2 linked regions of the Oryzias latipes genome follow. The protein of the gene in region 1 purifies or fractionates together with the protein of each later gene. This does not show direct contact. Links are inferred from orthologs where the notes say so. Each region holds a gene or a part of one and is shown in the gene's direction. Other genes may lie near its edges.

The links.
Region 2: the proteins of sae1 (region 1) and sumo2 purify together in Homo sapiens (affinity purification with mass spectrometry; 3 studies listed by BioGRID and IntAct, with this or other methods). This does not show direct contact. The link is inferred for Oryzias latipes from reciprocal best matches to the Homo sapiens genes SAE1 and SUMO2.

The regions. Positions count from the first base shown.
Region 1 is NC_019871.2:4,084,672-4,097,707, reverse strand, and holds the start of sae1 (SUMO-activating enzyme subunit 1), read left to right. Parts: upstream 1-6,550; 5' UTR 6,551-6,691; coding exon 6,692-6,783; intron 6,784-8,104; coding exon 8,105-8,216; intron 8,217-8,413; coding exon 8,414-8,587; intron 8,588-11,150; coding exon 11,151-11,296; intron 11,297-11,594; coding exon 11,595-11,694; intron 11,695-11,790; coding exon 11,791-11,896; intron 11,897-13,036. Other genes in the region: zc3h4 (zinc finger CCCH domain-containing protein 4), read right to left, coding at 5,002-5,081. UniProt on the Homo sapiens protein: The heterodimer acts as an E1 ligase for SUMO1, SUMO2, SUMO3, and probably SUMO4. It mediates ATP-dependent activation of SUMO proteins followed by formation of a thioester bond between a SUMO protein and a conserved active site cysteine residue on UBA2/SAE2.
Region 2 is NC_019866.2:13,018,197-13,031,186, forward strand, and holds sumo2 (small ubiquitin-related modifier 2), read left to right. Parts: upstream 1-5,673; 5' UTR 5,674-5,691; coding exon 5,692-5,712; intron 5,713-8,176; coding exon 8,177-8,308; intron 8,309-9,319; coding exon 9,320-9,391; intron 9,392-11,531; coding exon 11,532-11,594; 3' UTR 11,595-11,611; downstream 11,612-12,990. Other genes in the region: nuclear pore complex protein Nup85, read right to left, coding at 1-47, 120-251, 603-725, 972-1,106, 1,179-1,300, 1,412-1,481, 2,061-2,104, 2,192-2,262 and 3 more; jpt1 (jupiter microtubule associated homolog 1), read left to right, coding at 12,351-12,679. UniProt on the Homo sapiens protein: Ubiquitin-like protein that can be covalently attached to proteins as a monomer or as a lysine-linked polymer.

The DNA.
Region 1 (13,036 bases):
GATCAAGAATGGTTACAAATAGAATGACGGAGTAACAGCTGTTTCTCTACTGAAGTCGATGGGATTTTGGCGTCTTAGTTCTAACAGGTACTTCCTGTTTGGAAATGCCAGGGAGGAGTTACTCAGTCCAGTTCCTGTATACAGTCAATAGTTGAACCTGGCTCCAGGTATTTATCAGCCGCCGTTTTGGGATAAAACTGGAAGATTACTGTAGATTGGGCTAAATCGGTTTGGATCAACATTTTAATTCTGTTCCGATGTCGTGAGTTCAAATCCAGTCATACCCAAGACTCTAAAACTGCGACTCCCTGCTCGATACTCAGCATTAAAGGGTTGGATTGGGGGTGTTAAACCACCAAATGGTTCCCGACCTCGGTTGTGTCTGGGGCTCACCGCCCCCCCAGGGAATGGGTCACATGCGGAGAACAAATGTCACACCCCCCTATTGGTGTGTGACAGCTAATGGGACTTTTACTTGAAAACTCTACAATTTCCCTACATCGGTGGGATACGCCCATCATGGTCAAACCGTGAGCTGAACGTCTGTAAGGTCGGATCGTACAGACTAAAGGGGAGGAGTCTTTGCTGCGACCACCGTGTGGCTTCAGCTCTCCTTAAATCCTGCTATTTTTTTACGTCTTTGTCAAATAAAAATTTTGATATCAGTTTGAAAACTTGTGTGAAATTCACCTTTACACTATAACCAAAGACAATATTAATCTTTAGATGACAGATTCGTTGAACTCTGAGGATTCTGTTCGAAATAAATAAATAAATAAAATGTTTTTCCAATGAAAAAGATCAGAAAATTATAAAAGCTTGGTTACAATTAACTGTTTAAGTTGTGTTAAGACACTGAATTTATGCTGTAAATATAAAAAACATAATTTACAAAACGATTTGAGTTTATAGATACATATAGGATAAATACTCATGCATAAAAAGCTAATAAAAAATTGAAATAGCCTTTTTTACAGTTATTATCACGACAAATATTTTCTTCTAAATGGGAAAGATTCAGCTGGATCCACGACTATTAAAACGTATATTTTAAGAGTTCACATTGAAAAGTAGAACAATTTTCCTGCAGTTTAAGAGTCTACAGCTTTTAGTATCTTCAAACTGTCAACAGAAAATCCCCCAAAGATCTTTGTATATAATAATGAACCAAAACACACAAGAGAAACCACACCAGTTTAAACCAACGACTCAATGCACTAAACCTTTCAAATCTACATGAACTCACAACAAATCCACCTTAAAAATATGACAGAGGTCTGCAATGTTCTTCATAGATAAACCTCAACTGTGAGGGACAGAATGTAAACAAAGAATCCAGGAAATCACAGTTTGGGATTTTTAGAGAATTTCTTTGTATAATGAAGGAGAAAATGAGGTTTTATCTCCTAAAAACAAGCAAGAAGCTGTTACTTCTTCTTTAAAAAGCACTTCTATCCTCAACTGGTTACCTGTATTAATGTCACCTGTCCGATCTGGTTATCCGAATGAAAGGCACCTGTCCACACCCACTGCAACCCTTTCCACCATGACCGACACCAAAGAGCTGTCAAAGGACACCCGGGACCAGATTATGGACCTGATCTAGACTAGGATAAACCAATCTACTATAAACAAGCAGCTCAGTGAGAAGAGATCAACTGTTGAAGCAAATATTAGAAAATGGAAGAAATACACAATCACTGGTAATCTCCCTCCACCTGGAGCTCCATGAAAGATCTCCCCTGTTCGAGAGAACAATGAGAATACAGCTCAGAACCCCTTACAGGGGACTGGTCTATGACCTGAAGTGCTGGGACCACAGTAACAAAGATTACTATAGTGACACACTCTGTCATCTTGCAGAGCTCCAAAGGACCACCTGCTGAAACCGGCATATGTCCAAGCCCATCTACAGTTCTCCAGAGACCTTCTGGGTGATCCAGAGGATGGGGACAGGGTCACTGGGTCAGAGGAAACCAACATGGAATTCTTTGGTATCAAAACCCTTTGCAGCCTTTTGGGGAAGAATGCTGAGTAGCATCTCAAAACCCCATACTCACTGTGAAGCATGGGGTGGAAAACATCATGGTTTGGGGCTGCTTTACAGGACGACTGATCTGTATCAAGGAAAGGATGAATAGGCCCCAAAAAAATCCTCCTTCCATCGGTGAGAAGATTGAAGATGAAACATGGCTAGATCTTCCAGAAGGACAATGATCCCAAACATATCACCATGGTAACAAAGGAGAGGCTACATAAAAATAATTTTAAGGTTTTGGAAGGGTTTGTGGACCTCAGGCCAATAGAGAATCTGTTAACCCCTTGATACTTACTGATCCAAATGTGAATCAAAGCACTTCTGCTCCAAACTTACTTTAATTTAGCTTGAAAGCAAAAACAAGCAAGTTCAGGCCTCAAGGAGTTAAAAGTCTGTGTTGCCCAGCAACAGACACAACTTCATAGCTCTAGAGGAGATCTGCATGGAGGAATGGACCAAAATAGCAGCTAAACCGGATAAAGCCCTACGAGAAATGTTTGACCAACCGGAATCTAATTACAAAGCATTGAGCTGAACTTTTACTATTGACTAAATACTCAAAAATTAACTCTTTAAAGTCTCAATCTGATCAACTTGATATATTTCCAAAGTGTTCCCAGTGGTCCTTTTTAAGCCCCCAAAAAACAACAACAAACTGTGGTTTTCTAGTTTCTACAGAGCAGCAGGAGTTCATTAGAAACTCGCCTCTCAGTTGTGGGCAGGACTGCTGGTGTGGGAGTAGGCCCGCCCTACCTTCCCATCATCCATATTTTGACACTCTCTCCTGCTAGCTTACAGCCCTTCACACCCCGAACCTAACATTAGCGGTGCAACAGAAACGGTGAGCAATACCGTAGCCATCCAGCCGGACAGTTTACATTCAGATTCCAGCTCAGACGAAGAAAACAAAGACGCACATGGAACTATTTGTCTGCAGGTAGATGCATCAGAATGGAGCAGAGCAGGGAGCCTACGGCTTGCCATAGTTGCTGCTACATCACACCTACAAGCTTTTTCCAACAGCATTTTTGCATCTGCTCCTGATTCACGATGGTTTGAGTAAATAAATACACAGAAATGCAATTTTAAGCTCAATTCTTTTTAGACTATGTCCTCCATCCTCTAAAAAATGAAAGAAGTTGGGAAAACAACAGTGATTCTTTGTTTACTTTCCGTCTGTACGAGTTGAAGTGTTTCTAGGATGAACCTTACAGATCAAACTCAACTTTTTAACTTGCAGTATCGCAGACAAACACTTTTTCCTCTCCTGTTTGAGACAGTAATCAACCCTGGTTATTTTTGACCACCTCCTAATGCAGACTGACACGAGGTCCACGTATTCCATACAAAGCATTTAAAGACAGGTTCAGGTAAAACCGGCCGCCATGTGAACGCCACACTGAAGAAGCACCTCTGACCCGTTTCACACACTTCACATGCAGAAACTTTTCCTTTGCAGTTTTCTGCCACCAGTCCTGAAAGCGGGTCAGGACCTCCTCACGTCAGCAGAACCTGAGGAGCGTCCCGTGCTTTCATTCTGGGACACAGACCTCTAGTGTCACTGCAGGGGGGGGGGGCCTCTATGACAGAATGGGGATTTGGCTGCATGGCAGCAGACTGAAGTGAATGGGGGGGGGGGGGGGGGGGGGGTTCATGTTAACCACTCATCACCTGCTGCCAACAGTCTGCAGGCAAACAAAGACATTTAGGAAAACACAAACTCTCTGACTCCACACAATCAGAGAAGACCCCCCAACAACAACAGCAACAGGTGACCATTGGGGTCCAGCCAGGCCTTCACTATGCACAAAGTCCACAACGCCTGGAACTCTGAAAGCAGAGGGCCGTGATGAAAATGGGGAATACTTACTGTGACACGCTTTCTTCCCATTTTGGACTCAAACCCTCAGAGAAAAATAATGTCCCTGACCTTTAAGGGGCATTAGTGGGGAGGGGCTTTTGAAATTGGGGTATATTTTTCTTCCAGTTGTGGAAAAGGGATTTTCTTTTCTTTCTTTTGGGGGGGTGTTTGACTTAAAACATTTTAGGGATGCTTTGCAGACGTTTTGGGGACTTTTTCTGGATCTAGGGCGACCCAGTTTGAACTGTGAATAAAAGGGGTCTGTTAATCTAAATAAAACATTGCAGATTAAAAAAAATATCAGTTAAAATAGTTCACAATTAACATAAAAATGTATAACTTACGGTTTTAACGAGCTACATCTCGCCATGTTAGACATGATTTTTTAAATGCGCAGTTACGTCGGCTAGCCCTAGCTTGTCAACGGATGAAGTAATTTAAACGGATATTATTAGCTTCAATGAAATCGAAAATCGTCATAATAAAAAATGCTTTTTTTAAAGAAACTTTTAAAATTGAAGCGGTAGTAACTGGGTAATACGACAAGCGTAAAGTGGACCCAAAATTCATTTCGACGACTTTAGCCGTTAGCTTAGCCTTTGTTCTGTTAGCTAGGTTAGCATGCTATCTTTAGCCGTCAAGCTAATATTGTCTTAAAAAACGCCGTTTTCATTTTTGTTTTTTCAAACACAAACGTTACCAAAAAAAATAAAATACAACGCAGGCTAAGCTAACGTAAGTTAGCATTTTCGTGTGGCAAAAGTCCGATTCTTTGTCATGACAGAATTGTGAAGAAAACTCGTGTTTTTGGTCTTTCGACTTGGGTCTTTTTTCCTTTAAAAAAAAAGGTCGCTTCGGTCGTTTGGTCGATGATTGTGAAAATGTAAATAAAATACGGGGAATAGCGTTATTCCTTGTTCTTTTGGCCTTCCAGTTGTCGCACCAACATGGCCGTTGTCTTTACCTCTGTGCTCGTTTTCCAGTTTAATCCCTTTGAGAAAAAATGCAAAACAAAAAAAAAAGAGAGAAACCCCGGGCTTTTGTGTAAAAGCTCAGGACAAATAAATAATTTCATTTAAATATGATTGTAGAATTACTCGACCTTTCGTCAGTCAGGAGACTGTTGTGTTCGTGGTAGGTAGTTGGGGAGTTTGGATGGACAGTCATGCTTTCCACAGCCATTTCCTCTAGCTACATTGAGGTGCAAAAAATTACAACTCGACACTAGAATCTACTGGCTTATGCGTCACTTCACTAGGATCTACTTGTTTTGTTGTAGGAAGAGACTCAGTTCATAGTAGGCAACTCTCCACAACAGTTGTAAGAGAAATATGCTGAAATTGAATCCTGACGTTCTCCGTCCTACTGTAGCGACGTGAATTGACGACTGATTATCTTAAAATGGCCGATCGTCTTCTCCAAAGAAATAAGGGGCGGACTTTCCGAGTCGAAGATCGTGACGTTGGCGAGTCACGAAAATAACCGAAAGACAAAGCCAGGCTGTTCGTGTGACCCGGAGTTTGTCTTGCAGGCTGAAATGAAAGCTACCAAAACAAAATAGCGCAAAAATGATAGCTTTTTGAATTTAATGCTTTTCAAGACTACACGTAGACAAATAATAAAAATAATTATATTTAAAAAACATACACTTAATTTTAAAAAGCCGGAATTAAGTGGTTTAAAATGCCAAGGAGCACTTAAAGTTTCTCCTCAAAGACCCACTGCGATGAAAATTGTGTTTTTGACATGTTTTTGTAGCGTTTTCCTCATGATAGAGGACATAAAAGGGCAGTTCTTTGTTCAAATCTTTGTGATTAGAAAGCAGACAAAAATTGGAAAACAATTTATTATGTAGATAATCCTGCTCTGCTAATTTCAGATGAATCCAGTTGCAGACAAATAGATTCATAAACATCTTTATTTTCGTTATCTGAGCTGGAATCTGGCTCAGAACTGTCTGGCTGGATAGTTTCAATATTGCTCAGCATTTTTGTTGCACCGCTTAACCTTTTTTCCAGTTTTTCAATCTATTTGTCAAATGTAAGGTTTACACGTCTTTACAACAATTTAACCAAATAGTGCTTATTTGGACAAAAATAAAGAGGTTAGTTTGTCATAAAATGTATCTCAGGTTTTAGTCATTGAGCTAAATTACTGGTATTTTCAATATTATTGATACGTTTTATATTGTGCTAGATAAAGGTTTTGATCAGTGAACTAAATGTAACTAAAACATGGTACCAAGTTGTTTCAAATTTAGCAAGACAGCGACAGGAACGATATGTCACCCTTTTCATTGGGAGTTTCCTTAAAGACAATACTGAGGGAGTTAGAACAACGTGTTCAAAGGCACACAAAGAGAGAAAGAGAGAACGAAAAATTGTTTTTTCATCAAACAGAAACATCAAAGGAGCTCGGATCAGTTTAGTTTAGCACATTTAGCAATAAAGAAATATACTTTAAATACTTCTCTGCTTTCGGAAATCAAATAATTTAAATTGGGGGACAAAAAAGAATTTTTTCAAACATATATGTTATATTAATACAAATATATACATGATATATAATATACAAATTATTGACATAAAAAATAAAGGGTTTAAAAATAATTTCAAAAAGATGACAAGTGATTATTCTTTAGAAAATAGTCTGTTGTTTGTTTAAATGACGTCATAACCCGGCGACCATTCAGCGGGACCGTCGCCGCGTTTGAATCGAACTGGTTTGGCCCCTCTTCAAAAAGCTAATATTCTCCGAAAGGGAAGACTTTCCTTGGGAAGAAATCAATCGACATGATTGAAAAAGAGGACCCGATCATCAGCGAGGAGGAAGCGGCGCAGTATGACCGCCAGATCCGTCTGTGGGGGCTGGATGCCCAGAAGAGGTGAGTTAGCTTAGCTAGCCTCGGATGCTAACGGTTCCTCCTGGGTGATTATCATTATAACTCACTTTATTGCACACTCAGATGCGGTCCATAAAAGAAGACAGAAACAACATGCAAAAATAATAAATAAATAAATAAATACATAAAAAAACAAAATTACAGTTTACACCCATTTAGAGTATAATCTGTGCCCAGTCTGTCCCCAGGGTGGAGGTGTAGCGGCGTGAGCTTCCCCTGATATCAGCATGATAATTGCATTCTTAGACTTGTCCAGGCGCCCCATGAGGCTGTCAGCTAATAATGTAGTGGTGTTTCACAGGTGGGGATGTCATGTGAGCGTCCATAAACAGCTGACTCGCTGTGTACCACCTGGGCACCCGTAGCAGAAGACCAAAAGGCATCGCTATAGGCCACTGTAGATTTACAGAATGCCCCACGTCCATAATTCCACCACCGAGGAGTGCAGTCAGCTCTGAACAACGAACGCTACACTTGAAGAGAACACTTTTTGAATTTTCTCATCAGCATATTTGACTGAGCATACAGTTTACAGTCTCTGAATGTCTCTGTCGTCCAATCATCAGTGATAAAATGTCCAAGATATTTGTTATATGAGGTTCCTTCCAGAGGCTTTCCACAAAGCTGTAAAACAGGAAAGTTTACCTTTTTGTCATCGTTGGTCTTAACAATCATTATTCTGCTTTTAGAAGGGTTGTACTTTATATCAAAGTCTCTGCCGTGGTCAGAGCAAACTTTTAAAAGTTTTTGTCTCCCCGCACTGTAAGGGCAAAAAATGACAAGGTCATCAGCGTACATAAGATGGTTAAAGGTTTGACATCCAAAAACACACCCAGGTTTGCACAGATTTCACTTCGTAGAAAGATCATCAATTTATACATTGAATAAAAATGGAGAGAGGATCCCTCCCTGTTGAACACCATTGCTTACCTAAAATGGCTCAGATAAAACGTGAAGTAAAAAATGAAGTGATGTTTTGCTCTGAGGTGCAGAAGTTCCTGCTCCTTTCTTCACCTCCTGGATCTCCTCCTAAGCCTTCTTTCCACTGAAACGCTGCAGCTCAAAGGTTCTGGTCCTGTTCTTTGCCAGAACAGCAACGCTGCATCCCTGATGTTTTTGATTTGTTAAAAATGTTCTCCAGAAATCAGAAGTTCTCCACGATCCAGACTCAGAGGAAGAAAAACTCTCTTTTTCTTTGTCTTTCCAAAAGTAATCTTCCATATTTTTCACCTTAAACCCGTTTGGGACTGGCTTTCTCCTCTGGAACCTCCTTTCAGCAGCGTCCTGTTTGTGGCTTCTGCAGGTTGCGGGGGTCCCGGGTTCTCCTGGCAGGCCTGGGTGGTCTCGGCGCTGAAGTGGCCAAGAACTTGATCCTGGCTGGAGTTAAAGGTCTGACTCTGCTGGATCATGAACAGGTAAACACAACCACACCAGCAGCTGGGAGGCTTTTCCTTAACCCCATTTGTCCACAAGAAGCAGCTCCGTGTGAAATGTTGAACTCAATAAAATCGATTATTTTATCCTTTGACCCCCAGACTGATCGAACTGGGTTTGGTTGGGTCTCAAGAGTCCAGTTTTTATCCCACGTGGATTGACTTTCTGTTTCTTTTAGGTGACAGAGGAGTCGTGTCGAGCTCAGTTCTTGGTTCCGGTGTCTGCTCGAGGTCAGAACCGAGCCCAGGCCTCGCTGGAGCGAGCCCAGAATCTCAACCCGATGGTGGAGGTGCACGCCGACCCCGGGAGGGTCGAGGACAAACCGGACGACTTCTTCCTGCAGTTTGATGCTGTGAGTGGAAACAAAAGAAGTTTATCTAAAACCAACCAATGAGTTTGAATTAATATTAAAGATTTACTGCCCACTAAAAAAAAAAAGATTCAGTTTTAAAATGAATTTTCCATTATTGTAATTCCAAGTTTGACCACTAGATGGAGCTTAAAGCCCACATTAGCATAAACACCTTCATCTTTAGGCAGCACATTCTACACAACAATGAGATCAGCTCATCTTTAAAAAAAAAACTAAAACCACAAAAAAAAGAGTATAGCATAATTTACATGAACATTTAGATAGAATACACAAAAAATGTAGGTAAAGCTATGAAAGGTCGTGTCGCACAGCCACATTTTGTGCACATTACACAGATAAAAGTTGGTCATACATGAAAATATGTAGAAAAAGGGGAAAAGTTGTGGATCTTTACGGGAAAATTTCACAGATGACTAACACTAATGAGCCACGTCAAAACCACGGAAGAAGTACGAATAAACCACGCAAAGAACCCGAAAACTAACGTTAAATCTTCAGTGTGCCCAGACATTTGTGCGACAAAAAATTTGAACGTGATATGTGCGACAAATACGAGATATAAAAGCTATGTTTTGGCCCTTGACGGACATCTGTCAGGAAACACTCATGAATTATCACGCATGGATCACGAAAGACCAAATTTTCATACGTGGAAAATGTGCAACGTGTGCGTAGTGAAAGTATTTGTACTTCTTCCACGAACCCAAACCGCCAGCGTATACACTTTCAGTTCTGTCCCAGACCCCTGCTGTGATGTATCCTATGGGACGGTTCAGAGCCCAAATGTTCATTTACGTTCGCTTAATTCCTTTTACACATGTGACGTGGGAATGTGGCCCCGTTCACGAGTTTTGGACTGGAATTTCTAAGATATTGTTTGATTTAGTAACAGAGCCTGGTCTCCGACATTGGTCATGTGGTCAGCGGCGGCGGTGCCGTTAAAATTCAGAGTTCTGGGAAGGTGAACGAACGCAGGGGCGTTTGACCCCACCCAGACATTTGTATTGTTTTGTTTTTCAGTTGGCTACATATCACAGCCCCCTTTTTTTCCCATAGTCAGCTATTATTAGGCATATCAATAAGTATACATGTGTGTCTTTATTATTTTGTTTAGACGTTGTAGAGAACCCCTGGGGGCTGCCGTCATTTTTTGGATGGTTTGAGTTATATCCTGAAATTTCTTTTGAAATAGTTCAATAAGAAAAAAAAGTGTGATCATAAAGGAAAACCCATAAAATCAAATAGATGGCGAGAACGAAAAAAAACCAACAAGAAAAGGTTAAAGATGTGATTTAATTCCGGGTTTCTTGTTGGTTTTTTGGCATTAACACGAACCTTCGGTTTGGTTTGGACGTGGCGTTCTGAACTCTCCTGTTGTGCGGAAATAGAAACCCCCCCCCACACACACACAGACACAGACACACCTTATCACAGTGTGGCAGTAAAATATTCAAATGTTCAGCAAACGTCGACCCCCGTCTGGCTGCCGTACGCTCGGCCGCAGAAGCTTATCGGCTCCACATCAGCCATAAACTCCCAACGGCGTCGGCATCCGCCGCAGGTGGAGCGTCCGGCCGCTCAGCAGCTGCTCTGCTGCCTGGACCACTCTCCAGTCAAAGGTCACCTGCAAACCTTTTGTCTGTTTGGTTTTGATGGTACGGATTCCAAACCCGTTTGGGTTTTGCATTTCCTCCAGGCAAACAAAGTGGTGGAGGCTCCTCCCTGACAGTTAAAGCCGCCTGATGGCGTCCCCGCCTCCAGATAAGCATGTTGATGTTCTTCATCGTCCTTCAGAACTGACTCCATCAAAGCAGTTTGAAGAGTCTCAGATTCTACCAAAGGAGAGAAATCGGAAAAAAAGTGAAAAAGTTTCCAGATTCTAGTAAAGAAATGTCTTTTATCCTGCTTTTCTTGAGCTTTTCAGGGTAAACGTTTCCCATGTGAATGATAGTATATTATCTTTGGCTCACTACAGAAAGATTTTTTATGAAATGAGTTCTTTTCACAGCTCGTTTAAGTAAGACGACTCGATCTCTGAGGCTCTGCCTTTCTCTCCTTGTGGGTGCCGCCCGTTTCGTGGCGTTATCCTAGAGTCGGCCCTGCCCATTTCATGACATCATCCTAGAGTCGGCCTCGCCCATTTCATGACATCATCCTAGAGTCGGCCTCGCCCATTTCATGCCGTCATCCTAGAGGCGGCCCCGCCCATTTCATGCCGTCATCCTATAGTCGGCCCCGCCCATTTCATGACGTCATCCTAGAGGCGGCCTCGGCAGCAGCGTTTCTCCAACAAAACTAAACGACATCTAAACTTTGCAAGGATAGATGTGAATATTGAGCTTATAAAAGTGTTTAGGCGATCACCGCTAGCTCCACTGAGAAAGTGGGCGTGTCTTTTAGCCTGGGGTATATTGATTTTCCTGCATCCTGTAGCTTTTTCCCGCGTTTGTGGACAGATTTACAAAAAAACCATATTTCTGCTTCCTGTCGCTTTACTTTGAAGGCCAGATTCTAATGAGCGCCCTTTTAATTTTTCCCCCAGGTGTGTCTGACAGGTTGCTCCCGAGACCTGATGGTTCGGGTCGACCAGCTCTGTTCTCAGCACCGCATCAAGGTTTTCTGTGGAGATGTGTACGGTTACTACGGTTACATGTTCTGCAACCTGGGCCAGGAGTACAGCTACGTGGAGTGAGTGGGCGGGCTCTTTCGAGGCGACGTTTACCTTTTGTTTGTTTTGTTTTACAGGTTCAGAAAACTGTTCCAGACCCTTAATTCTTCTGGAATGAAAGCAAGATTTCCATAAACAGACAAAATCAACATTTTTTGGCTTTTGTGCAGCAAAAATGCACAAATGTTCCACACTTTTCAAGAGAAATTTCCATTCTAATCATAAGTTCAGAGGAGAACGCATCTCCTGTGTTTTTTAGTTCCTCTTTCAGGGGGTTTTCTATAAAAACTTAGCAGCTTTTTTTTTTTTTTATTTCAGAGAGAAACCTAAAGTGGTGAAACCGTCAGGAGATTCCAGCGATGGTCCAGGAGCGAAGAAAGCCAAAGTCGATCCCAACGAGACCACCATGGTGAAGAAGGTAGAGCTTGTGGCTCCAGCTTGCCCTTTCCGGCGCCTCCGTCTGTTTTTGAGGATCTTTGAGTCAAGCATCTTCTAAAACTTTCTGTCCCGCCAGACGGCCAGTTTCTGCACCCTGAAGGAGGCTCTGGAGGTGGACTGGACGACTGAAAAGGCCAAAGCGGCTCTGAAGAAAACCCCGGTGGACTATTTCCTGCTTCATGGTGCGTAGAGGTCATTCCTTCTGGCTTTACCCCTCTGCCCTGAGGTCACATGACCTACAGGAAACCATTCAACCTTTTTCCTCACGGTGTCACAGAGTTCTGGCCGAAAACAAACTTCAATTAGTAATTTCTCCTCCACCATCAATTTTCAAATGGTTGGCACTTCCATGAGTTAAAACAGACCGGTCAATTTTGACCGGGAACACTAAAGTAGGGGGCTGAATGCGAACACGACCGGAGGGTTAAAGGAGGCGTAACCCTCACGCCGTGCCAAATCCCAGCCCCTGATTGGTGAAAGTTCAACCGCTTTAACTTTCAACGCGCGTTCATTGGCCGCACGTTTTCTACATAGAGGCCGAAAACGTAGACGTCTGAAATGCACGTTTGCATAAACTTTTCATTGGAAGCAGATGCTTGAACACGCGTTGCCAGTGGTGGTGTGAACGTAGCTTAGACGCTGCTGATTGTTGACTTCCACGTTGAAGCCCATTCCAAAACAAAAGTAACTGGAGCCAGTTCACTTTGAAAGGTAATCACTAGGCGTATTGTTGCGCAAAGCAGATCAGGCTCTACTTTCCCTGAATGTAAAATGGGCGAACAATAGAAAAACAATCTTATGGTGGATTCAGGCACATTTGGTTCTCTTAATGTGAACCAGAAGTTGTTTCCCGTGATAATCTGGATCAACTTTTCCGTATGAAAACACCCAAGCGGTTCCAGGACTCATCTTTGGAGCTGGTCTCGGTTTGTTACCAATCAGACTGAGATGCGGTTTGCTCTGAGTTTCCTCAGTCTGAACACAATCTGTGCTCTGAACGGAACAACTGGACCAAAACGGCCGGGCATTATGGGATGCAAAGAAGGATGGTGGCAACCACGACAATGAGACTCAGCAATTCATTGAAATTTAGTCGGACGAAGGTAGACTCATTAAAAAAACAACTTTTAAGGTGATCCACGTGGCTTCTTACTGGTTTCCCAACAATCATAAACATTTATCAGCGTTCCTTCTCGGTCGTCGTCTCTTCAGGAACCGTCCTGCTGTTAGTAAAAAGTAAAAACCGGTGAACCTGACTTTGAAATTAAGGAACTATCCCAACAAGGACCGCAAACCGCAGGACTTCCATAATGTCTGTCTCT
Region 2 (12,990 bases), on another chromosome or scaffold:
AGAGGTTCTGGTGCGCTCCTTGAGTCCAGAAACATGGTCATACACGACTGCAAAACACACAGGTACACTTAATATCTGGATGCAGCAGACATGAGTGCAAGTTTTGTAGAATAGTTCACCTGTGCATAGTAGTGCAACTCAGTGGGCTTTACAGTGGGATGACAGAACAGCAGTCTTGAGACAAGGAAGTGATACCAGGTTCCCAGGAGGTCTTTGTGCTCCAGTAAAGTGTCTTCATCACCCAGGAGGATCTAAAAAATAAAGAACAGAAATTATTGAAACATTTTATATCATATAGTTGAAACATTTGCACCAATTTATTAATCTGGTGCTGCTAAATGACTAAAATGTATTTTGGTGCCAGATTAGAAATTAAAACACACATTTAATATCCCAGAAATTGCCTACAGTGAAGCATGGCGGCGATAGCTTCATAATTTGAGCATGCATCATATCAGCCCATTGGGATTTAGCAAGAATTGAAGTGATTAAAACTGTTAACAGAAACGGGCGTATTTTTAGGAAAAGCCTACATTAGTACCAACAATGTTAGCATTTTGAAAATACACGATAGCATAAAAAGTAGTAACGGATGGACTGACCTTGCAGATGACCTCCAGATGTTGGTTGCTAGCAAAAGAGTTGTCCTGCAAGCAGCGGTCTACCTCTTCATGCCAGTGCCTCCACTTAACGTCAAACTCTGTCAGTGTCTGTGTGCCACCAGGCTGAAGACATACATGTGAGGATGAAAATGGACATTTTGAAATTGTTTGGTTCGTTATGTGTTTGAACACATTTAAAGGCAGGTCACCAGTCCCTCAGCCAAAACAGAGAAAGAAACTGATGCAGGAGTCGTCGTGCAAACTCCTCTTAAGGAGGCCACAACTTAGATTTAACCTTTATGGCAGGTAAATGACCATAAGTCATTCTTAACCCACAGACTAAAACCAGATAACTCCCATTGTACTTACATTGTAAAAAGGCATCTTGCTGAGTAAGTTATCCATCATCTTGTAGATGTTGTTTGCAGCAGGCGTTAGGGTGGCCTTTTTCCCCAGCATCTGTCTGGCTTCGTCCAACCTGCCCTGCAGCACATAACTCACCACCTGCACAGCACAACGAAACTCTCAGAGATCTCCAGTGGAGGCGGATCGTGTGTGTGCATGTCCCGCACTAACCACATCCCAGTAGTCTCGATGCTCAGCAGGGCTGTCACTCTGCAGCACGTCTCGAGCCTTTTCGTCTACGTCAGCCTTGTGCAGCCTCACCCAGTCCAGGAGGTGAAGCAGGAGCGAGCCGGCTGAAAGCATGCAAAACACACATCAATCATGAATGGGTTTTTATGGAGCCTTGCCTTTGTTTAGTTATAATAAAAGATATTTTGTTGTTAACTAAAAACTGAGATTCTAACCAGGAGCAGCATCGATGAAAAGGACTTCACACAGATTCCAGATCAGTTCTATAGCTAAAAGAATGGAGACCTGCAACAAAACAGACTGGATTAGGAACTAAATAATATTTAAGAGAAATGTTACTGATGAGTCAAGGGTTAAAATACAGATGAGCTCTGACTATTTAAAATGCAACAAAAATATGTCATTTAAAACATATTATAATGGCACAATGACAGCTTTACCCACAAAAAAGATCAGTAATGATTTATATTTGTACCGACAAGCAAAAATCCAAAATAAACAAGCTCCGACATGAATAAGAGTTTGTTTCAAGATCATACAGAAGACATTTCTAGTATAATAAGATCTCACAAATGCAGTTTGAAATAACATCAAAACTAGTCGACGTCTGCTTGGTTGATTTAAAAATCATTAAAAAAAATACACATTTTTTAATTCCTAAGAACAAATTATACACAAAATTATTTGAATTGTATTTATTACAGACCACTAAAATCCACATCCGAGGAAACAAAAAAATATTACGAATAGTAAAAAGATTAAAAAGAAGAGGAAAAAAACTATTATACGTTAATAAGTTAAAAAATTAAACTAATCACAATTTCTAAAAAGGAAAAGATGAAACTAAAGAATAAAAACACGTGCCTGGTTTCCATACTGTACGGACATCTCTGCGTTTTTTGTGGAAACTGCAAACAAAAAAGTACATGCCATTATAAAAAACTACACTGTAGGATTCGAAGATACACTTCATGATTCAGTTTAAAGAAGCTAACCTGCAACTTGCTGCAGCTCCTCCATACAGGCTCGAATAACAGATCTATAGTTTTTACTGATGCTGACAAACCTATAGAGCAAAACAGGAATTGTTTTTTTTTTTTACTTTAACACTGTTTGACATGAAATAGTTACATGTTGATGTTTTGCCTGTTTTCTTTTTCAATCTTTATGTCATCCCACTGATCAAAAAATTAAAAAGAAAATGTCAATAAAAACTAATTATTTGTGTAAGCTGAGCGGTCTCTCATCAGGAGACTTACTGAGGTTTCTTGTTCTTGCTGGGCAGATCCTCCCTGATTGTTTGCAAGCCAACAAAAATGTGATGCGACTCGTTAAAGAGTTTGCGCAAAATAGGAGAGTAGATGTCTTCATCTTTCCGGACTTCATGGATGAAGGGGGAACCAGATCCTGTTGCACCTGAAACACAAGACAATAGAAAGGAAACAAAGCAAGAAGACTTGCGAAAGTATTGAAACTGAAATTAACACATACCTGTTGCTTTGAAGAGGGTCTCATAGACAAAGATATTACCTTGACCCCATGCAAAGCCCATATGCTTTCCTCTTCTGAGTGCAGGAATATTCTGTATTGAGAGTGATAACACAGATTTCCAATTGTAATAATCTCTGCAACATTCAATAGAACATTATTGAACATCACTAAAGTGCTTATTTGACCATTTCTATCTTGTAGCAAAGCTTTTTGGGATTCAATCTAACTAAGTTTTGTTTCCTTATATTTAAAAAAAAGACTTTCAATCAATATCTACTGAAAATCCTGCAAAAGTACGTTCTTTACAATCATAAGGCATTTGACACGGTGAATCATGAGATTCTTTTGTCTAACTTTTCTATGGACTCAATTCAGTGGATAAAATCATATCCAGAATTCAGAAAACAGTGTGATTGTATTAACAGTGTCAAATCAACTCTCTTAGATGTCCCTGTTGGTCTACCACAGGGATCAATACTTGGGCCTTTATTGTTTTCTATGTATATTAATGATCTGCCAAACACATGTGGTAATGTTGAATTTCAAATGTATGCTGATGATGCTGTCATATTCACTAGCGCAAAAAATATTCAAGAAGCAGCCTCTATTCTTACCTCAGCTCTGGTTCCTGTAAATGAATGGCTTTCTAAATCTTGCTTACTGTTAAATACAACTAAAACTGTTTGTATGATGTTCACTAAGCAACCAGTGGACATCAAGCATTCAGGTATATTTTTGGAAGAACGGGAACTAGAAATTCTATCTAAATTTAAGTATCTTGGTGTGACACTTGATTCAACTCTGAGCTTCAAGAGCCATATTAAAAAAATTCACTTGGAGCTGCTAGAATGTTTTTGCATTCAATGATTCTATCACATATTGAATACTGTATTACATGTTGGTCCTTGCCGGGTGTAAATACGAGCAAAACCATAGAATCACTTTATAAAACAATCACTTAAGGTCTTAGATAGAAAACCAATGTCATTCCATGTTTGTAATATCTTGAAAAAGTACAAGTTGTTGAGCTTTGAGAATTTTAAAAATTTTAAATTCGCTTGTTTGATGTACAAGGTGTTACATGGACTTGCTCCGCCTCCCATGTCTGACTTTTTTTAAATAAGGTCTCACAGCGCTCTCAGGACTAGGGCCTCGTCTCGAGGGGACTGTGAGGTTCCACACAGAAAAACAGCCTTTGGACAAAACGCTCTTTCTGTAAAGGCCAGTAAACTCTTGAACAGTCTTCCATTGTACATAAGGGAGTGTCAATAATTACAGACCTTCAAAACACAGCTCAAGCAGTGGCTGAAAGCAAACCAGTCCTGTAACCACTGACTTTTAACTCTCATAATGTACCACTTTCTTGTGTTCTTATTGTATCTGTGACTGTGTCTTTTGTTTTGTCCTGTTTTATGTTTCCTGCCTAGGGACTAGGGATGCAAATTAGCATCATTGCTATAATCCAGCATGTTTACGCCTATAATCATTGTTTGGTAGATGTTCATTAATGTGCACTGTCCCTATTAAACAAAGCTTAAATAAAATAAAATCATTTTAAAATGTCCTGGCTTTCAAACAACATTCGATTTATTGCCTATTAGTTGCAATGTTACAACCAACACTCTTATGGTTTTCTTTTGCCTTTCTTAGTTTTAATCCATTGGACACATGCAACAGGATATTTATTTACCTTGACATTAAGACAGAGACTGGACTCAAAAATGTCCAGGAAAAGACTTACCTTTCTTTGTTTGACAAAGCACAAAATAACTTAACAAAACGTAGAAGACAAAAATAACGTTACATTTTGATTTTCTAACCATTGTTCCAAGTTTGTTTCTTTATATCCAAGAACATGTCAACTGTGACATTGTTTTAGCTACGAAACCTCCAACTCGTAATGTCGGTCCGTAACATTTCATCATAAACTTTTGTGTTTGTATCATTAACTACTAGTGTATTTTTTTATTCCGAATTTTAGGATTTACAAAATTCAAAATGCTTAGCTAACTTGTTAGCTGCTATTCGATAGCGCATAACAATAAACTACATAGTACGAAAGACTTACGGTTATCGTCGGTTCAACGTCTACCTCCTCCATCGGATGAAACTTTTTAGATCCTTTTAAATTTCAAACTATGAACTTTTTCACCTTAATCATGCCATTTAACACGTGCTATAATATAGCAACGCTTGCGCGCCTCTCTTTTTCTACGACTATCTCGCGCATGCGTCAAATGTAGGACTGTCCTACTTAATGCCTGTTTTGTTTTTTGTTTTTTTAAATTTGCAAGTACAGTACTTTCTTTTACTTTTAATCTACGTCAAGAAAACTGACATGACTGAAGCAAATAACACTATCTTTAGAATCGATATACATTTAAAAGTCGAAGTAATTTTATTCCGAAAACGTGTAACATATTCTCAGAATCAGGAAGATACAATCGTATCATATTGTTAATATACATTAAAACGTTATATAAGTTAGCTATCTTAGAAAATATATCGCCATATCGGTAAATGTTGTCGTTTAGTCGGTGCCTGTTTTTTATTGTAACAAAAAAAGAAAGAAAAACCAAGATGGCCACTGGGCTATAATGAGGGGTTAAAATAAGGAGAGTACTAATATATCACGCTGTACATCTAATACCGATCATATGGGCGCTTTATGAAACGTGCAGCACTGATACTAGTCTTCGGCGTGACGATGAACAGATTTCCTTCGTATATAATAGACCTAAACCAAAAACAAAAGGGAAAAATTCTGCCGTGCGCGTGCATGTGAAGCCGAGTATCTCTGTAACGCGCAGGCGGTAGTCTCCCGCCCATAACTAGACTGCGCTTTAGTCCACGTGACTTCATGCGGCCAATTAAATCCTTGTTCAGTGAACGCGCATTGACACATGCCCGCGCACGTTTCCCCGAATAATTTAAACGGGAACGAGTACGTGCGCGCACTCATATTCTTTGTGTGGTAGCATAGAGAAGCGCCAAAAGAGTGACGATGGCTGATGAAAAACCAAAGGTAAGTGACCCCATTGTCAATTACGATGCTATTACAAATTAACTGGATCGCCGATCTTAAAGGTGAATTTACATTCCCGCGTGTGCTGTTCGTATTTTTTTAAATAAAAAAGTTAAGTGATAAGATTCAACTGTACCTACTTTGATGGACCGGAAGGTATGTGAGCGCGCATGGACTGGCGCGCACGTCGCTTTTAGGCTGATTACATCCCGCCAACCAGCTGGTGTCGTTCTCTATAAATCTTGCGGTTTTCTTGCGTTGTGTTTGTGTGGTAATTAAGTTGTCTGTGTTTTGTAATGACGCACCAGAATGGAAAAAATAAACAAGAAAACGAACTGTTTGTATTTAGTCTCTAGACTAAACTGTTCTAGTCAGTCTGCAACACTTTGGCTTGACTCGTTGAAGAAAACGGGTTATAACAACTGGATACCAAAAATAAAATATTCAAATACTTGAAACTAATATTTAACAATGAATACGTGTTTTTTAGCATCTGTTTTTCATACGGCCTACAATTATGTTTCTATCCCTGGTAATTCTGGTATTTTATCTTTTTATTTTTCCACTCTGACAAACATAAAGAACTATAGAACAAACAATCTGCATGATAAACATTGCAACCCACTTGCCTCACAAAACGAACCTTTTTTGTAAATAAATAAATTAAATTAACTTTTTTCTGGTACAACAGAATGGTTAAATCCAGGTACATAGGTGTGACTTGTTGTGTGTCTTGGATCGTGTTTCCTTAAGTTAAAGGTCTTCTTAATTGGAGGACAGGTCTTCTTAATTTTTTTTCTTAGTCTCTAAATTTTGAATGTTGAACCCCAAGAAAAATGGTTCCTATCAATAGGTGTGTTAATGGTCAGAAAAGCTCTGAGCATTGAAACAAAGAAAGAAACCATCGAGCTGCACCTGACGTTCAAGGTGCGTCCTGCCGAACTGTATGACCACGGGGGAACAGCAACGAGGTCAGAAAACTATTCAGAGATGAAGATGAGAGGCAGACGGAGGCAGAGCTCATCTGCGAGAAAGTCAGGGTATGAAGAAATAAAGAAGTACAAATGCAGAAGGAGCTAAAACAGAAGAAGAAGAATCCAAGGCTGTTTGAGTGGCCTTGCACGGAGAGGTAGCTAGGACCGACAAAGCTGCTGCTGAGAGGTTTGCAGGAGAATTTCAGGTGTTAGTTTGGGAAGAAGGCCACAGCCCTCATCAGCTTTTCAACTGAAGCAAAAATGGCCTCTTCTGGAAGAAGTGACCCAACTTGCATCACCAAGGAGGAGAAAAGACCTCCTGGACACAAACCCATTAAGGAAAAACAGAAGGGGATGACTCTCCTCAGAAGATGAGAAGAGCAAAAGGTCAATTCCTTCCATCACCATCAAGAACACACTTAAGAAGTAGGACCAAGACGTCCATTCAGTGGCACCCCAACCAAACTGAAGTCTACAGACTAGTGAATTTGTTGAAGGTCATGGTCATTTCAGGAACATACTCAAAAATGGAGGAGAAACAGACTTTGGCTAAGTTCTTCCAGCCAGGGTGACTAAGAAACTTCAACCTGTTGAAGCTAAAGAACAGACCTATTCTCCACTCAATATTAGGCCACTCAAGGAGAGTCCGTCTCACCTGTCGGCGCTCTTTTGATGGAGCTGGAAATTTTATTTCCCTACATTATTCCTCTTTTTTGTGGCGATGTTGCACACATTGCCAGATTTCACATCGACTTTGGAAAATCATGTCATCCGTTCTACAAATTTAAAGAAAAATAGTATTAAAAAAAAGAATATTCAAGAAAGAAAAACCAGAAGAAACCAAACCAAATGGGGGCAAACATGCTTTATCTTCTTAATGCCTGCTGCACCACCTTTATGGTTTTATTTACACGTGTTTGTGGTTTTCATGGGAACCTGCCACCAACAAGTAAGTGGGCGATTATGATCCCACATGCGATGTAGTTTTGGTGCGACTGGCTGCTGTTGCCATAGTGGTCCTGCCCAGAGGACGGTCTGTACCATTTATCACAACCAGAGGCTCTGGCCTGCATTGTGTAACAGAGGAAAAAACAAACATGCCCAGGTTTGCCATCACACTGGCGTCCAGTCTGTTTGTTTTCAATAACCTAACCAGGAGATGGGGATGATTGGCGGCTTTTAAGCACTGTACCGAGCCTTGCACCGAAGGGTAACAGTCTTCATCTGAATGACACGGCACACAACTGTCTGGATTTGGCCTTTTCCCCCAGAAAATCAATTGTTCGCTGCAAACAGGCTTCGTTACGTGATGTTAATTTGTTTTGCGAGGCATGCAGGCATCCAAGGCAGATAGTTTTTTGTGTGTGGGGTATTTGTTATGCAAGGAACCACTGTTATTTGTGTCTAAAATGACCTGTCCTGTTTGTTGTTTCTTAAACCGTTACAATATTTATTTATTTATTTCTTTATTTATTTATTTCTTTTTGTAGGAAGGAGTGAAGACTGAAAATAACGAACACATAAATCTAAAGGTAGCAGGTCAGGATGGATCTGTCGTGCAGTTCAAGATCAAAAGACACACACCGCTCATCAAACTTATGAAGGCATATTGTGAGAGACAGGTAAGTATAATCCCCTATTAGACAACAAACACACAAAACGGTGGCGATTCAGGAAAACTATCATAATCACAACGCTTATACAAAAAGTAAAGGTTCGTTAAAAAGTAGTTAGATCATTTAAACTTTGTATTACCCAAGGAATATGTTTTTATATCCCTATATAAGCAAAAGTATTGTGGAAAAAAAAACAACAACTTATGATCGCTTAGATACAAATGGGTTTTAAAATTAGGAAGTCTGTGAATTTAAAGCAGGTCAGGTATTTATTTATAATAAATATTAATTTGATGATGCATTCTACATTTTTATTATCTTATGTGAGACTTTTGTTACTTTCTTTTATACTATGTTATATATGTGTGTGTTTCATTGAATTATTAATTGAGTTATAAAAAAGTTAGAGCTAACTGAACCCAAATATAAAATATTGCTCGTAGCTCTTGTATTGGCTTGTAAACGCCGCAGCAGTTTTTTTTTTTTGCTTTGTTTTTTTTGAACGGGTTCATAAACGCTGTTGTTTTTCAGGATTATAACTCGATTACCATGAAATGTTTACATCTTTTCACATCTTTCTAAATAATAACAAAAAACTCCTTATCTTATCCCTTTAGGATCTGGGATTCTCTCTACTCACTGAAAATGTAACCTATAAGTTAAATGAGGTTCTAATAGTTGAAAGCCTGAATTATTGTTTAATCTACAGCTTGATTTTCTCTGTATGACACAGCATGTGTGTGTTTGTCAGTGTAATGTGAATCAACTCTGACCTGTTGTAGGAAAACAGTCTTTCCTTCAGTGTCTCACGTCTGTGCTAATAATACATAACATGTGACATTATACATATTAATTAGTATATTAACTATGAATAAATACATTTATTACATGTATTGTTTTTTTTAATAGAACCACACAATTTTTGCTTTTTTTATGTATATGAACAGGAAATGTGTTCCAGTCACTCTAACGGAAAGCAGGCCTTTTGCTACAAATTAATAAGTATTGTCTTTGCAGGGACTTTCAATGAGGCAAATAAGGTTCAGATTCGACGGACAGCCAATAAATGAGACAGACACACCTGCACAGGTAGGACTGATGATATGCAAAACCTGCTGCCAGTGGAGTTTATCCCAAAAACGTGTTATAACAAAAATCCTTTATATGGGTGGATGAAGATAAAAGTAATGGATAGGTAGATAAATAGCTTGTTGAGTAGATTTGTAGGCTAGCTAGCTATATCTATCTATTTATGCTAAATACTTGCAACATAAATTAGGCAAATCTTGATGAATTGGCTGAACAATATTTCTTTCATCTTTTTTAGCAGGGGTGTCCCGATGTGATCACGTAGTTTCAAACTCGATTGGAATCCGATGTTGCGATCAGATCAGGACTCGGATATTTATTTTATCATTATTATATATTTCAATCTTAACTTTACAGATAAACACTTTACCAGATGTCTTCAAATTCTGACCGGATCCCAACGTTTTACTGCCATAAAGTGCAGCAGACAATGAGGCTAGGAGGCGCTGAAAGACAGTTTGAGAAGGTTAGCAAGATATTCACAGATTTGGACCTTCAGGCTCAATAATTCTTAAATGAGCACTTTAAACTGACAGCGAGTGTCATTGTCTCAACTCAAACAACAACTTAGAAAGGCGTTTAAAAAGAAAAGGGATCGAGCTTTGGTTACTTTTTAATGAGAATTGCTCTCTCCGTGCTGCTGACAGAAAGTCGGCAGTGAAAGGTGAAAGCTCTGGGAAAAAGTTATTTAAAAATGAAAAAAAAAAAGAAATCCATTTAAAAAAAACTAAAACTGATAAATGGTTACATTGATATGAGCTATTCATAAATATTTATGTTACAACAACAATTTTAAAAGACAGTCATCATTAATTTTAATGACTTTTTAATGCAAGTATGAATCACATAAGAACCAAAAATGTTCAATAATTCTGAGGATACTAAAGCTACAGTCACCAAACTTTCTCCCATGAATAATTATTTCCTATTTTTTACTAGTTTATAGTTAACTGTTCTTTGTAGTTGAAAGTTTTACGACTTTTGCTTGATTCTTTGAGTTATTTCACAGCGGCAAATTGTTTAAGTGTTAAATAATTAAAGAAAGTGAATAAAGTAAAAATCTGTGATAACCTGACTTCATTACATTTGATCATTTTTTATGTGTTACAATAATATCGGATCAGGCCTCGGTATCGGTACATACTCAAAATCAAATGACTCTGAATCGGATCGGGACTTCCTTAGTTTTTAGTTCTTGTTCCAAAGCTGGTCTGACTAAATCAATGCAGCCTCTAAATTAATGTATTAGGTTTAAAACATTCATGAGGTTCTTTTGTTGGGTTTGATCAATAAGCCATGAATCTCTGTAGAAATGAGCACATATGTTTTAGGCTTCTTTTGTTTAAGACCCATGATGTGATTCTGTTATTACCTATTTTCATTTTATTTCTTTTATTATTTTTCTCTTAGTAATGCAACCAGAACAAGATAACACTCACATTTTGGTTAAGAAACTCTTTGATTTCTAACGAAAACCAGGCCATTTACTTCTTTTATTTTTTGGTTTTTATTCCATTTTTTTATTTATTTTTTTTTTGCTTTCTGGGCTAGAACTTCACTGCAGTTTAGAGCAAACAGAAAACCCTCCGAATATTGAAGTGTAAATGAATAAACTTGTTGGCCATGCAGGTATTTCATATCCTCAAGCAGCAGCTTGCCGTGCTTGATGTCTTGATGCCAGATAATAGCGCTTCCATGGGAAACTTGTTCTGCCACAGGCAGAGAGGATTTATCATCTACATTCAGATGTCTGACGGAAACCTTTATCCACTTGTAGAGTTTGTTACGACGGCCAACGCACATGCACTGAATTAACTTCTATGATTGTATTATTGTAACCACACCATTGTTGTTTGAGGTTAAAGTGGTATTTTTGCTGTTCAAGGCAAATCTGTGTGCATGCTGTAGTCATAAAAACATCCCGCACTGTCATTTCTGATGCAGCTTTGGGGTTTGATATGCCCAGGGGGCAGAGTGTCAGCCCAAGGTCACATTCCACATGAATGGAACATGATGACATTTGCTTTTTTTTGCCCCCTTTATTGTAGAGAATTTCCCCTCTTATTTTAAAGATTAGATGTATTTAAATGTCTGAAAGGTATGTCTGTATGTATGACACTTTGTCCCCTTTTATCAACAGTTGGAAATGGAAGATGAAGATACAATTGATGTGTTTCAACAGCAGACGGGGGGCCGGATTTAATCAGCCACACATGCTGCCAGCCTCCTCTTCAACTTCGCCAGCATGCCACGCCACCCAGCAGCTGGCTCTCTGCGACTCTCAGTTGTGCCGACAGAATTCCACGCAGAAGGTTTAATTTCTCTGCTACACAAAACTGCTGTATGATATTTTCATCATGGCCCCCGTTACTTCTCTGCCCGTGTACATAAACTACATCCAGATCACCTCCAGTTCTGGTCATTTATTCCGTAATCTAGTAACTAATAACCTCCTGTCCCAGTTTAAAAGGTTTATTGTAAAGATGCTGTCTGCTGGGGCTTGGATTTGAGCAAGTTGGACTCTCACGGTCCATTAAAAAAAGGAGAAAAAAAAGAAATCTGTTTTTAAGATATACAAGTTGTTGGGTTGATTTCACTTAGTGAGCCATATACCTAGTTTATGGATGGAGCTTGGTTATAATTTACTTTTTCTTACCAACAGAAAATTTGGTTTTATACTTTTTATAGGGTATTGGATGTTTAGAAAACGAAAAGTGCTTTGTTAAGCTTCAAATTTGGAAACCAAAAGGATGTTTTAGTTCTACAAACTCCCATATTGTCTATGAAAATTGTCTGTTTAAATAAAGTTATTGTCTTTTTTTTCAATATTTTTCTTTTTGTCTGTCATTAATTCTAGTTTGCTTATATTACTGGTTAAAATGGACAGAAAGGTCTTAGTTTTGACTGTCAATATTAAATGAACGATCTTCAGGGATGAAAGCTGTAGTCATTTATAAACATGGGGACTACCACCAGCAAGATGTTCGACCTCTTGGGTTCTGTCCAATCAGAAAAGAGTTCTGTGATGTCCTGTCCAATCAGAGCGGACGATAGGCTGGTGGGCTGGTCCTTGTGGGCTGGCACCGCAGAACCAGCAGATCTGGGCTTCCCAACGCTTTTCCAGTTTCGGGTGGAGTCCGCAGCGCGGCGCATTTCTGAGCGCAGGGAGGATTTCTCCTTTTGTCATCCGTTTCACTGCTCCTTACAGCCGGGACGTCTGAAACCCCCAAAGATGACGACCACCACCACCTATACAGGAATGGAACCCGGTGCTAAGAGCAGCTCCAGGTAAAAGCAGCTGGAAACCTTTGGCGGAGGAACAAAAGAAGCGGGGATGCGGGGAAGTGTTTTAAGCTAGCAAACGCCTTCTTTTTTGTGTGCTAGTTTTGATTAGCGGGTTGTGGTCCTGTGTTGTGGAGAAGGTTTGAGCCGCACTGTCACACACAGACAGTCTCGCTAATTAAGTTAATCTCATTGGGCCTCGGAGGCTCCAGAGCCCTTTAGCAACATTAAGTTATTTCAGTTAGCTCGTGGGGTTCGGAATGTCAGGCAAAAAATTAGCTAACCGGAAATATTTATCTTTTTCTGCAAAGGACTAA